3 linked regions of the Styela clava genome follow. The protein of the gene in region 3 purifies or fractionates together with the protein of the main gene of each other region. This does not show direct contact. Links are inferred from orthologs where the notes say so. Each region holds a gene or a part of one and is shown on either strand. Other genes may lie near its edges. The genes, in order: gamma-soluble NSF attachment protein-like, sec1 family domain-containing protein 1-like and vesicle-fusing ATPase-like.

Evidence for each region.
Region 1: the proteins of vesicle-fusing ATPase-like (region 3) and gamma-soluble NSF attachment protein-like purify together in Homo sapiens (affinity purification with mass spectrometry; 3 studies listed by BioGRID and IntAct, with this or other methods). This does not show direct contact. The link is inferred for Styela clava from reciprocal best matches to the Homo sapiens genes NSF and NAPG.
Region 2: the proteins of vesicle-fusing ATPase-like (region 3) and sec1 family domain-containing protein 1-like purify together in Homo sapiens (affinity purification with mass spectrometry; 3 studies listed by BioGRID and IntAct, with this or other methods). This does not show direct contact. The link is inferred for Styela clava from reciprocal best matches to the Homo sapiens genes NSF and SCFD1.

The regions. Positions count from the first base shown.
Region 1 is NC_135250.1:29,671,912-29,675,669, reverse strand, and holds the start of gamma-soluble NSF attachment protein-like, read left to right. Parts: upstream 1-1,300; 5' UTR 1,301-1,399; coding exon 1,400-1,554; intron 1,555-3,500; coding exon 3,501-3,634; intron 3,635-3,758. Other genes in the region: uncharacterized protein LOC120334755, read right to left, coding at 1-68. UniProt on the Homo sapiens protein: Required for vesicular transport between the endoplasmic reticulum and the Golgi apparatus.
Region 2 is NC_135251.1:11,552,580-11,556,337, forward strand, and holds the start of sec1 family domain-containing protein 1-like, read right to left. Parts: upstream 2,725-3,758; 5' UTR 2,544-2,724; coding exon 2,513-2,543; intron 1,698-2,512; coding exon 1,538-1,697; intron 1,287-1,537; coding exon 1,196-1,286; intron 858-1,195; coding exon 762-857; intron 325-761; coding exon 210-324; intron 1-209. UniProt on the Homo sapiens protein: Plays a role in SNARE-pin assembly and Golgi-to-ER retrograde transport via its interaction with COG4. Involved in vesicular transport between the endoplasmic reticulum and the Golgi.
Region 3 is NC_135262.1:1,426,322-1,430,079, forward strand, and holds the start of vesicle-fusing ATPase-like, read right to left. Parts: upstream 2,247-3,758; 5' UTR 2,211-2,246; coding exon 1,974-2,210; intron 1,163-1,973; coding exon 1,078-1,162; intron 588-1,077; coding exon 418-587; intron 1-417.

The sequences.
Region 1 (3,758 bases), on a different chromosome or scaffold from region 3:
TGATTATTATAAAATCTTCCGCCTCCGCGCTTGTTCCCTGCCATATTTTTAGGTGATCTATTATACATTGAGTAAATAATCTGAAATAAAAGCAATGAGTTACTACCATGATATAAAAACTCAAATAAGTAATGTCAATATAAGCAAGCGAAAAGAACGCAAAAGAAGCGACGAATGAACGTATACGCCTCCGAAAACCCCTTCGACAGAAAAGCGAGTTCCGCGGCCATTGTTGCTCTATGCACCTGCAAGTGATGACGACAACAGCGACACCAACCATTTTCAAAATATTTTTTATGTAAATAACTCGCTAGTCATAGTCAAAGACAAGTATATTTTTTCATGTTGTAAAATATCGCTATTTTAAAACAATATTAAACTGAACTACAAGGATCCGCATCAAAATTTACAATAAAATAAGTATAGTAGTGCAAAAATCAACAATCTCTTCCTTGGCAGTGAAATAAGCCGCGCGAACTGATATGTGCGAGATTTAGAATGTTTTTTAAAATTGAATATCTTTCAAAGCGCACATTTATCACATCCGCCTCCAGTTTATAAATACGCTCGCAATCGCATTCCCATGTCCACAATCCCGTATTTGTATGCCACAACATTTCGGCCGACTCAGGGATTATGTAAACGTTAAGTATTTCCACGCGATCCAGTATCACCCGCCTCAAACGATGTTTAACAATTAAATGTTTAGGTATTTTCCCACTCTAACTAGACAAGTAAACAAATTAGAAGACGTGGTTTGTTATATTATTAAACCGCAAATCGGATTTTCTTTCTCCTCGGATAATGTAGTGAAAGTTACTACAGAATAGACTCACGTCTAAGCAATATGAATATTGGTAATTGAGATTAATCGGTGTTGAACAGCCACACCCTTGGCGTCAAATTCCCCATTTAATGAAAATATACTAGAGTTCAGAAAGTTGGGAACTGTTTGCTTTCGGGGAAATTCAGATTTTAAGGATAGTTGTACGTGAAATGTTCATACGACACAATTTTGCAATATTTACAAATCACATGACTATTTGTCAGCACAATACGCCATTTCATTTCATAGTTTTCCAAGAACGACTAATTTTCCAATAACAAGACATTGTCGATCGACGTCTAGCAATTTTTTAAGTAATTCCAATATCACCCACCTAAAATCAGTGTGCACTAAATGAAATTAATGTAAATTTAATCAGAGGTTTTTCTTGACAATATAACATTAAAGTGCGCACCTAATTTATCTGCATGGAAATTATGTCCAGTTGTTGACAAAACACGGAATCGATTTTTGTTCATGTAGAATTGGTTGTCTGTCTGTAGTGCGATAGCGCAGTTTAGGAAGATTATTTTGATAGATTTTTCCAGAATTAGGTTCCTAGAAAGCTAAATAATGACTGATAGAGCGGCGAAAAAGCTCCAAGAAGGTTTGCAGCATATGGAAGAAGCAGAAAAACATTTAAAAACGGGATTTTTCAAGTGGAGACCTGATTATGACAGCGCAGCAGCTTCGTTTCAGAATGCTGGGCTCGCCTTCAAGCTTGCTAAGTAAGTTGTGATGGGGTTTTGTAAATATAACAGTAGTATTTGGAATTTAATAATAATTCAGTGGTGCAGTGGTAGGCCTACAATACCTGAATACCAATCTGTGGCTCAACGGGCTAAGCGTTAGGAAAACGCTCGCCACCGCACCTCTAATTACTATGCATGGGTTCGCGGGTTCGAATCCCATGCAGGGATGGTTATGTGCGGGAGGATTGCTGGACTCCTCGCCGTCGTTGGGTGGTTCACGTAACCGCTGGTCAGTTACGGCTTCCTCCACCACCAAGTCCATGCTTCCGAAAAAAAAAAAAAAAAATACAGTAAATCTAATCCCATACCCTTGGAATGGTAACCGGAGGAGAGGCCGTGGTTCGCCATATGGATAAGCCATCTTATCGGCTTTCCTCTCCCCCGGGATAAATATGTAAATCCTATCCTATCCTATAATATGAAATTGGGGAGAATTGAAAGTTTTGTTTGTTTATTTCTTGCCCAAGCCTTGTGCAACTTGGATTGTGTTTTTTTTAATTTGGTTTGGTGTGTGCTGGATATTTCTGAAGCGAGCATATTTCTTTTAAACTTTATTACGGTAAAGGTTTTGCTCGCTCTCCAGAATTCTCCATATTTCAGTATTACAGGTTTAATTTGTGTGTAATACAGACCTACCGTACAGACTGACAGTAAAGTTTTAAAAATAAACTATTGAAGAACAGAAGAGTCTGAGAGTTGAGCGATAGTTTCCAAATTCAATATCTGCCGATTTTACTGTCTTGCCAAGTTTACAAACTCAGGCCGGACGGACTTTTTCCGACCACAAGACAGTTTGTGTTCTGTAGTTATAATAACACTGTCGCCCTTGAGTGGTGCATACCATATATGTACACACCCTTTAAACCATTCCCGCGTTTTATAGTATGTGGTATCATCACTCAATGGTGTTGTACATTCATCCAAATTCTTAAATTTTTTAGAAAAAAAAAATTTTATTACTATATTCATATGCAGTGTGTTTCATGTTGTGTTGTGTCTCTATTTATAGATGTTGTTTTGTCTAACAAACTCCTTTGTACAAACAGTTTTGTACACTCCACCCTTATCCCTGTTACCGCATCCACCCACCCTCCTTGCACAACTGCCTGTATAAAGGACCATATTGTACATATTTGATTTACCCTATTATAATTTATATATATCAAAAGGGGTGTATGCCGCACATCTGTGTTTTAGGCCAATATGGTCTTGTGCATACATCCCGTCTTCAGTATTTATAATTACTTACTCTTTTATATTGCTTTTACGAGACGAATAAACATACATACATACATACAGTTATGATTTTGTTTCACAATCCCTTGCAACCTTAGCAGTTGTTTAAAAATAATAATAACAATACAGTAGGTCACAGCTCTCTGATTCTAAGATGTCCAGACATTTGGTTCAATTAAACAAACATTCCTTTTGTCTCTAAAAGAGGGCGTGTGGCCCTACAGTAGATCTGTGTCAGATCATGCCAAGCTTGTCTCAGTAATGATTTAAATCAATTGTGGCTTGTGTCGACCGGCACATGGTCAAAATTGTGTTTTTTTGCTGAAAACTCTCGAATGCTACGGTAAAATTTTTTTTGTCTTTGATAAATGAGATTATATTTTTGACGTTCCAAGATTGTGCTTCCTTTTAGTTTATTGCACAGTGCCTGTTCATGCCAATATGGAGGCCCAGACCGTCTTGTAAAGGATTGGTTTTCACTCACTGTTATAATTGATGTCTTTTAATGTTGGGGCTATTCTTGGAATCGGAGAACTGTGCCCTACTGTAATGTGATGTTAAAAAATTAATGAAAAATTTAAAAATGATAAAAAAGAACAGTAAATTTGATCATTCGAGTTGTCATATTGGATTTTTCCTCTCTACGTGAAGAAATACAGATGAAAATTTAATCCTCTTTGTTTCAGGCAATATGAGAAAGCATACGCTGCATATGAAAGATTAGCCGATGCTCATTACAAGCTTGGAGCGAGATTCCATGCCGCAAAAGCATACGAGGAAGCTGGGAATGCTTGCAGAGAACTGAATGACTATAATAAAGGCACGGTAACTTTATTTTTTACAGGGAGCTGTTGGCGCTCCAGAAGTGTGTGTATCAATATGGAGGTAACTCAAGTTGTGTGAAGGGACTGAAACCTATGGGCAGGGGGTAAATACACTTGGCT
Region 2 (3,758 bases), on a different chromosome or scaffold from region 3:
ATTCCAAGAGATGCTATATAACTGCGTTGAAAACAGTGAGTTTGTAAACTCTGACTTAATAATATCTAAATTAAATAACAACTACAAAGCTGAAGCCAATAAACTGCATGTAAAAATCACCAAATGTATAATTGAATACGGTTAACTTAATAAGCATAAATTCAATATTTTTAGAAAAAGACAATTGATTGAACTAAAAAGAAACCTACTGTAATATGAAATTGCATCTTTGTTTTGATTTCTCAAAAGAAACATGTTATCTTCGAGACTGATGAAATTTAAATATTGATCGAAAACTTTAGTAACATAAGATTCTGCATTCGCCTTAAAAAAAGGGAGAGTATGGTTATAAAATGTTTAACACATTAATGTAACTAAAATAGGAACTATGATGAAAAAATTGGTAATGTTTATTAAATATGTTGATGTGCATTATATATTTTGCCACTGACCACTAACACAGTAAGAGCTATAAATAAGCTTATTTCCAATATATAATGGTTGACATGAGACCTTGAATTCAAGTCAACATTGCCAGGGAAAAACGATAGACGAAAAAAAAATTTTTCAAGGCATTAATTCTTAGTAAAAACTTTTAGCATAGTGTTAAATTCTAATCATGCACCAGCAAAGACGTCATCAACAAAGATGTCTAATATTTCCATTTGTCATTTGTGATTCAATTCAAGTTGACAGACCAAGAACTTTTAACAGAATTCTGCTTCATTGTCCAAATTACAATTCTTACAACAATAACTTACTAATACAGCAGCACTCGCAAGATCTTCTAATTTATGTCTCGGAATAGCGGATATAAAATTAAAGTAATATCCTTCATAAAGCTCATTTTGCATATCCTGTAAAAAGAACAGAAAACATAAACAGTCACTAAATAACCAAATAGCAAACCATTCTCAAATTAATAACTTGACTGTATATAAAACTGTCACACTCAACACTGTATATTAATATCTGGTGACTAGGGCTAAATGCCCTACAGAGTGGTACATATTACCATAACAGGATATGTCTTGGAATTGATCCCTGTTAGCCCCCACAACTTGTCCACCCAAACTATGATAAACTAACAAAAGAATAATCACAAAGCTATCATTCATTACAAACTCGGCAGCTGTGTTTTTTTGAAAACATAAGAAAATTGTCAGCCAATGTTACAAATTCCTTCAAACATTACCCGACACATTCTTGTTATATTTTCATCTGTTGGTAAAATAAAATATATGGCAGGAACGTCTGGTACTGGATCTCTGTCACTATGAAGAGACCTGAATAAAAAAATATTAATAGAGTTATACTTGATTTGCAACTTGCCATCAATTTTATGCCCTCAATTCGATCGTGAAATAAATTATGCAAAGCTATATTAAAAATAAAGTCATTCCAATTAATAAAAAATCGATGTATAGTAGTTAAGTTATGAGCCATCATTGATCGAAGTTGCAATAATCAAACTTTCTCAAAGCTGTACATAAAATTTGTCCTAAAATAGATGCCTTTAAACAATAGTTTTACTTACAAGTATAATGTAACTCCCATGTCTCTCAATTCACTAACAGATAATAAAGGTGAAATAATATCTTGACCGAATCTATCATAAATCAAGACTTTCCATTCTGGTTCCATACTTGATGCTTTAGTTACTGGATTTCCAAAATGTAGCATTCTCTTGATGGCAACTAAAATTAACATGAATTTATACCGAGTTATTTGCCTTTCGCTGTGAACGAGGTCTTGTAAAAGCATCAACTGAAAATATATTCAGAATTTTGGGGAAAATTTTTTTATTTATAAATGGTTGCTCATCGTAAAAGCTTTCAAAACCAAATTCAATGATAGGACGCAAAAAAAGAGGCAAGTTCACTAAACGCCGTCAAGTACTTCTAGTTGGCGTGGCATAACCATTTTCGCAAATGTCATTTTTGACCCTCGCCTGACTACGCCATCACAAAATTAAGCCACTACAACGTCACAGTGACGAAATAAGGCCCGTCAAAGTATACAGATTGTCATCTAAAACGCGCAGACGATCACTCAAAATCAAGCAAGCTATTTCTCTTGTTTTCTCGTCCTACAGTCCTAACGATCCTGATATGAGGGAGATCCGATGGCGTTAGCGAGTTCGTTATCATTATCAGAGATGCGTTTTCAGGTGACCTAGCTTTTTTTTGGCAAGCTCTATGACGTGATTGTGACGTAGTCGGGTAGGGGGTTGGAATAACATAAGTAAAAATGTTTGTGCCACGCCAACTAGAATATTTATGCCTTTTGTGAACATGCGCCCATAAAACTGTGAAAAGCACATCAACTTTCAGACTTTACCATTCCATAATTTCTTTCTCATCTGGAAAGGCAGAAAAGGGTTATGGTACTGAAATACGAAAGTCCTATCTCAAAATGAGAAATGACGATACTGTAGGTTCAAAGAAACAATATAGCCTAGACATCTCTTTATCGGAACACGGAATTGTAAAAATACAGAAATATATCATACCTGCTTGCCGTTCTCGTATAGAGGCAGCCATTCTTGCTGAATAGGATTAGAAAATTAAAGAACAACTCAAAGACAATCTCCTTCTATCCACGAAAACCCATGAAGCAAATAACGGGCTAGCAGATCAATCCAAAACACATAACATCAAAGTAAAATGCGATTACAGGATTAAGCTAAGCTACATAACATGGGAACTGTAGTAGTAAACCACTGTGCCTGACTCGTCAGCTCTTCCACGCTAACAAGTGCTCCCTGTAAAAATAATATGTTCGGAGCTTAAAGAAAAATATTCATGTTTTTAAAAGTTTTGCAAATAAATTGAATAAGTCTGACTATAGAGGTCTTAAATTTTTCCATTAATTAAAAATGGTGCTTTTTATTCAAAAGCTATGATATAAAATATTAAGGGGAACACGGATTTTTCAACGTCAATATTGCTCTATTTTAAACCTAGTGGGCACAAACATTTAATATATCGTAATTAGGATGGAATTTTTCTATTTATCGTGGGAGAGAGGAAAACCGATAGGACGAGATAAGCCACGGCCTATCAGCTCATGTCGGATATGGGATAGTGGACCGTTTATTTATTTCAGACACATGAACTTGATGGTACAGGGGTGGGCAAGGTTTTTGAACAAGGGGCCAGGAATTTTGCCCACCTAGACTGGCGGGCAGTGGCGTAGCATCCACCCCCGCAACCCCCGCGGTCGCGGGAGGGCCCACAGCGCAAAGGGGCCTAAGCGGTTAGAAATTAGAATTTAGAAATTTAAGCCGTAAAACCAAAAGCTGCATTGCAAAACCAGTAATGCACATTTTAAAACGTTGATGTTAGTTCTGCTCAAAACATTTTGGTACGTAACAATGCCAGGGAGTCGTCGATTTTCGGCGTTTTGTGGTTTGATCGCACCGGCAAAGTTAGAAAGGTTGTCAGAATGATGTCGAAAGCAAAACCTCTCAGTGGCGCACAGAAACGCAAAGAAAGGGCAGAAGAGGAAGCACGTATGAAAAAAATTAAAGTGATCAAGATAAACGGCAAATTTTAGGTTACCATTAATAGCGACGTGTTATGCTTTTTGACGAAATAAATAAAAGCGTTGTTTTAGCTTATGTCCGAGAGTTTTTAGGGTCATTTCCACGAAATATTTTTGCGGGGGGGGGGGGGGGGGCACGAGAGTTTTGCTACGCCACTGCTGGCGGGTCATGTGAGTGTGGCGTGATAGGTTAAATTCTATGAACAATATTT
Region 3 (3,758 bases):
TGGATAACCAAAGTATTCAAATTTTCTGCATGCGTGATATAATTATGTATCAGCAAATATATTTTATAAAATTTCAGAGGGGCAGAGATGGAGTAACATTATATTTGAAAAAAATCATGTACGTTTAGTATATTTGATTCTTTTCGGACCCCCAAAGTATTCAAATTTATTTAGCATGCATGATATACCTGGATATAAAGGAATATTTTTTAAAAAATTTTAGGGGGTAGAAAAGATGTAACACTATATTTGTAAAAAAAATCATGTACATTTAGTATATTCGATTCCTTTCGGACCCCTAGAGTATTCAAATTTTTTTCGAATGTGTGATATCACTAGGTATCTGCAAATAAATTTTATAAAATTTTTCAGGGGTAACACTATAATTAAAAAAAAAATCATGTCAGTTCGACTCACCTGAAAAATTCCACCATGGTGATCATTGGCAGCAGTTTTAATATCTTTAACCGAAATTGCGTAATGTATGCCGGCAAAACTGAACAGCAACGTTTCACCAAGAACAAACCACCGAAGCGCGAAGTCATGCTTGAGTTGTTCTACCATGTGATCTGTGTTGACTGGATCATCTGAAAGAAATTGATGTTGGAATAAGACTGCCTGTCCACTGACAGAGTAGGCTAGGCTATAATTTTCACAAAACTAATGTCTTCCCAACATACCGTATATAAGCAGACCTCCTAAAAATGACCCCAAAACGGTGAATTTATAAAAATTTGCATATAAGCGGATCCTACAAATCGTACGCTTTTATTGTGAGGACTTTCATAGTTCGAGTTGTTGAAATTAAGTTAGCATGATGTCATTTTGTTTGAGTGCGATCAGAGTTTGACAGCTTAGTTTTGAAATTGGATTATATACGGTGAATATTTGACGGGCAAAACCCCAATTTCGGATATCAAATAAGTTGTGAAGCGCTGGGTAACGCAGAATACACCATAAAATTATCATCGACCAATGAGAGGCGATTGCTGACTTTCGCTGTGCACCCAAACTGAAGAGCAACACAATCCAAAACCATGCAGTACTCAAATAGATTCTCCAGACTGTTAAACTTACTTGTGACTTCTCTTGATTTATAAAAATCCACTTCAAGGATGGTTTCAACTATTTCATCCTGCTTTGTGGGGAAGAATTTTTCAACCTGTCATAAGAAATGAAATTTAGCATTTCTTAGGTGGTGTTTTTTACACTGAACAAGGCTATGTAATAGCATCTACTGATACATCAAATTTGGATACTATTCTCAGAGAGATGGACACCACTCTGGTTCGTCATTGGCTGCCCAATTCATTACATCTAGGGTGGCGAGGTCGTGGGGAAGCCCCTCAAGTAAAAAACGAGAATATCGGTCAGAGACCGAAGACTTATCGATCGAAAGTTAGGGGATCCTCAAAACAGCGCTCTTATTCCATAGTGACACCTTGTGCTTCATTCGAGTGAAAACTACTATCTTTTTTTAAAGATCATAAGAACCTAAATGTTGTTTGGAAGAGGCCATGATCATGAAAGTTTGATAGCAAGTAGCACCTCCCACTTGTTTATAATAAAGGCATGAACAAATTTTACAATAAATCAAATTGGTTATTAATATTGGGTCTAGTGTAGTACTTCCAGTGCGCTTGTCAATATTTGTTATTCCTATTTGGGGTTATTCCTTACTCCCACCTGACTACGCCATCTATGAATTGCGCGACTACGGCCTCACAATCATGTAACATAGCTTGCCAATATGAGCCGCCGATAAGAAATTCACAACGCCAGTGATCTCTCTCATATTGGGATCGCTAAGACGAGAAAAATAGCTTGCTGACTTAGGGTAATGGTCTGTGCGTTTGGGACGACTATGCATGTATTTTTGCGGGCCTTATTATGTCACTGTTACATCATAGTGACATGATTTTTGGATGACGTAGACGAAATTTAACCATCACGAAAAATATAATCATAAATACCTGAACTTCTTGGTTAATCCCAACGTAGGCCCATTTTCTTTGAATCATTGAAAATCCAATATATTTATCCTGTACTTGACGATCAGGGAGGCAAGTGAAATCGTACACCTGACCTCGATTACAAAACCTGATGTATTTATATCCATTTTGAAAATCCTGCGGACTCACGATGACTTTGTTTTTTAACGAAAGATCATTACTAGGACATTTTGTGACTCTGAAAGCTTCTGTGGACATTTTTACTATAATTTATTATGTAATATTTTTTTGATGAGCCTTGAATGAAAGAAAATAATAATTCAATACTTAATAAGAACAAAGTCTGTTCATACCAGACATCAGCACTTCGTAAACTGTTAGTTTGTGTGCGCGGAACTATTCGGGGAAAAAAAATCACGATGTACTTACACCAAAAAAAATTGCTGCCTCAAAATAGAACTCAATTTTGTGATCATTGATGTGTACTTTATTTATGCTTTTTCAAGTTTGTAAACATGTAGGCCTAAAGAGTAAAGGCAATTCTGCATTTCTGCCTGATTTTCCTTTGAAATACTGAAAATAACATGCATGTTCGTTAAACTTGGTAACGCAAATAAATAAACTGTAGCAGGTAGTGTCTACCAAAATTTCCAAATTCCAAGAATGTCCCATCATTTGGTCTAATAAAACAAACACTCCCATGTCTCTCCCAAACAAGGGGTGTCTGGCACGACATCAGATGCATCATATTGCGCGATGCTTGTCTCAATAATAATCTAAATCGTGGCTGTCACATGACCAAAATTGTCGTTTTTAGCTAAAATCTCTCAAATGCCATGGTAGAAATTTTTTTCCTCCAATAAATTAGATTATTTTTTCCAGAGGAATTCAATGATGACGTTTTTAGATAGCGCTTCTTTGTAGTTTTTTATACAACTTCATTTTACTGTATTTTTACCGATATTGAGGAACAACAATGGCCAGACGTCCCCGAAAGGAGGGGTGTTTGTTCATTGGCAAAATGGAATTCTCTAAAATGAGACAATGCCTCTCGATCTGTATAGTGTGCCGTACTGTACCGTACTCACTGTTATAATTGATGTCTTTCAATGTGGAGCCTATGTTTGGAATCTACTGGCTATGTTTGGAATCTGTTCTGACTATCTACTAACACAGGTATAAAAAAGAGAGAATTCTAAAAAGAAGAAAAACTACTAACAGCCTACAATTTAAATCTCAAAAGCCCACTCATAAAATACCGGTACAGTTCTAGGTATTCTTTGCAATCTTAACTAATAAAAACTAACAACCACGTCAATAATTCTCGGGATAAAATATGAGATTCCCATTCATCAATAATAAAAACTACAACGCCATATGCTGTTACTGTCTTACGATCAATATCACGCAAAGCGAGTTTTATTGAGTTGTCCTTTCACTACAACTTGATTATGCGTTTTGTTATCTTTCTGTCATTTGAATCCTGTTTTTATCTTCGGTTTTATCATTCACTTTTTTGCGGCGAATTATTCTAACGCCAAACGGAACTTTCGTATTGAGATTTTAAAATCTAATTGTCGCAATACATACAGTACGGTAGTTTTTTGATTCCACGTTTTGTTGTTTAAATTTAAATGCCATTCCCACGATTATTTATTTTACCTCATACGTTTCGAATGTAGATAATGTACCCGCTGCGAGGTACAGTGAAATATGTTCCCGAATGTACCGGTAAACGCACGCACAATGCCGGAAAACTGGCAACATATTTATCGAGCCAGCACATCAAAAACACAGCGACGAAAA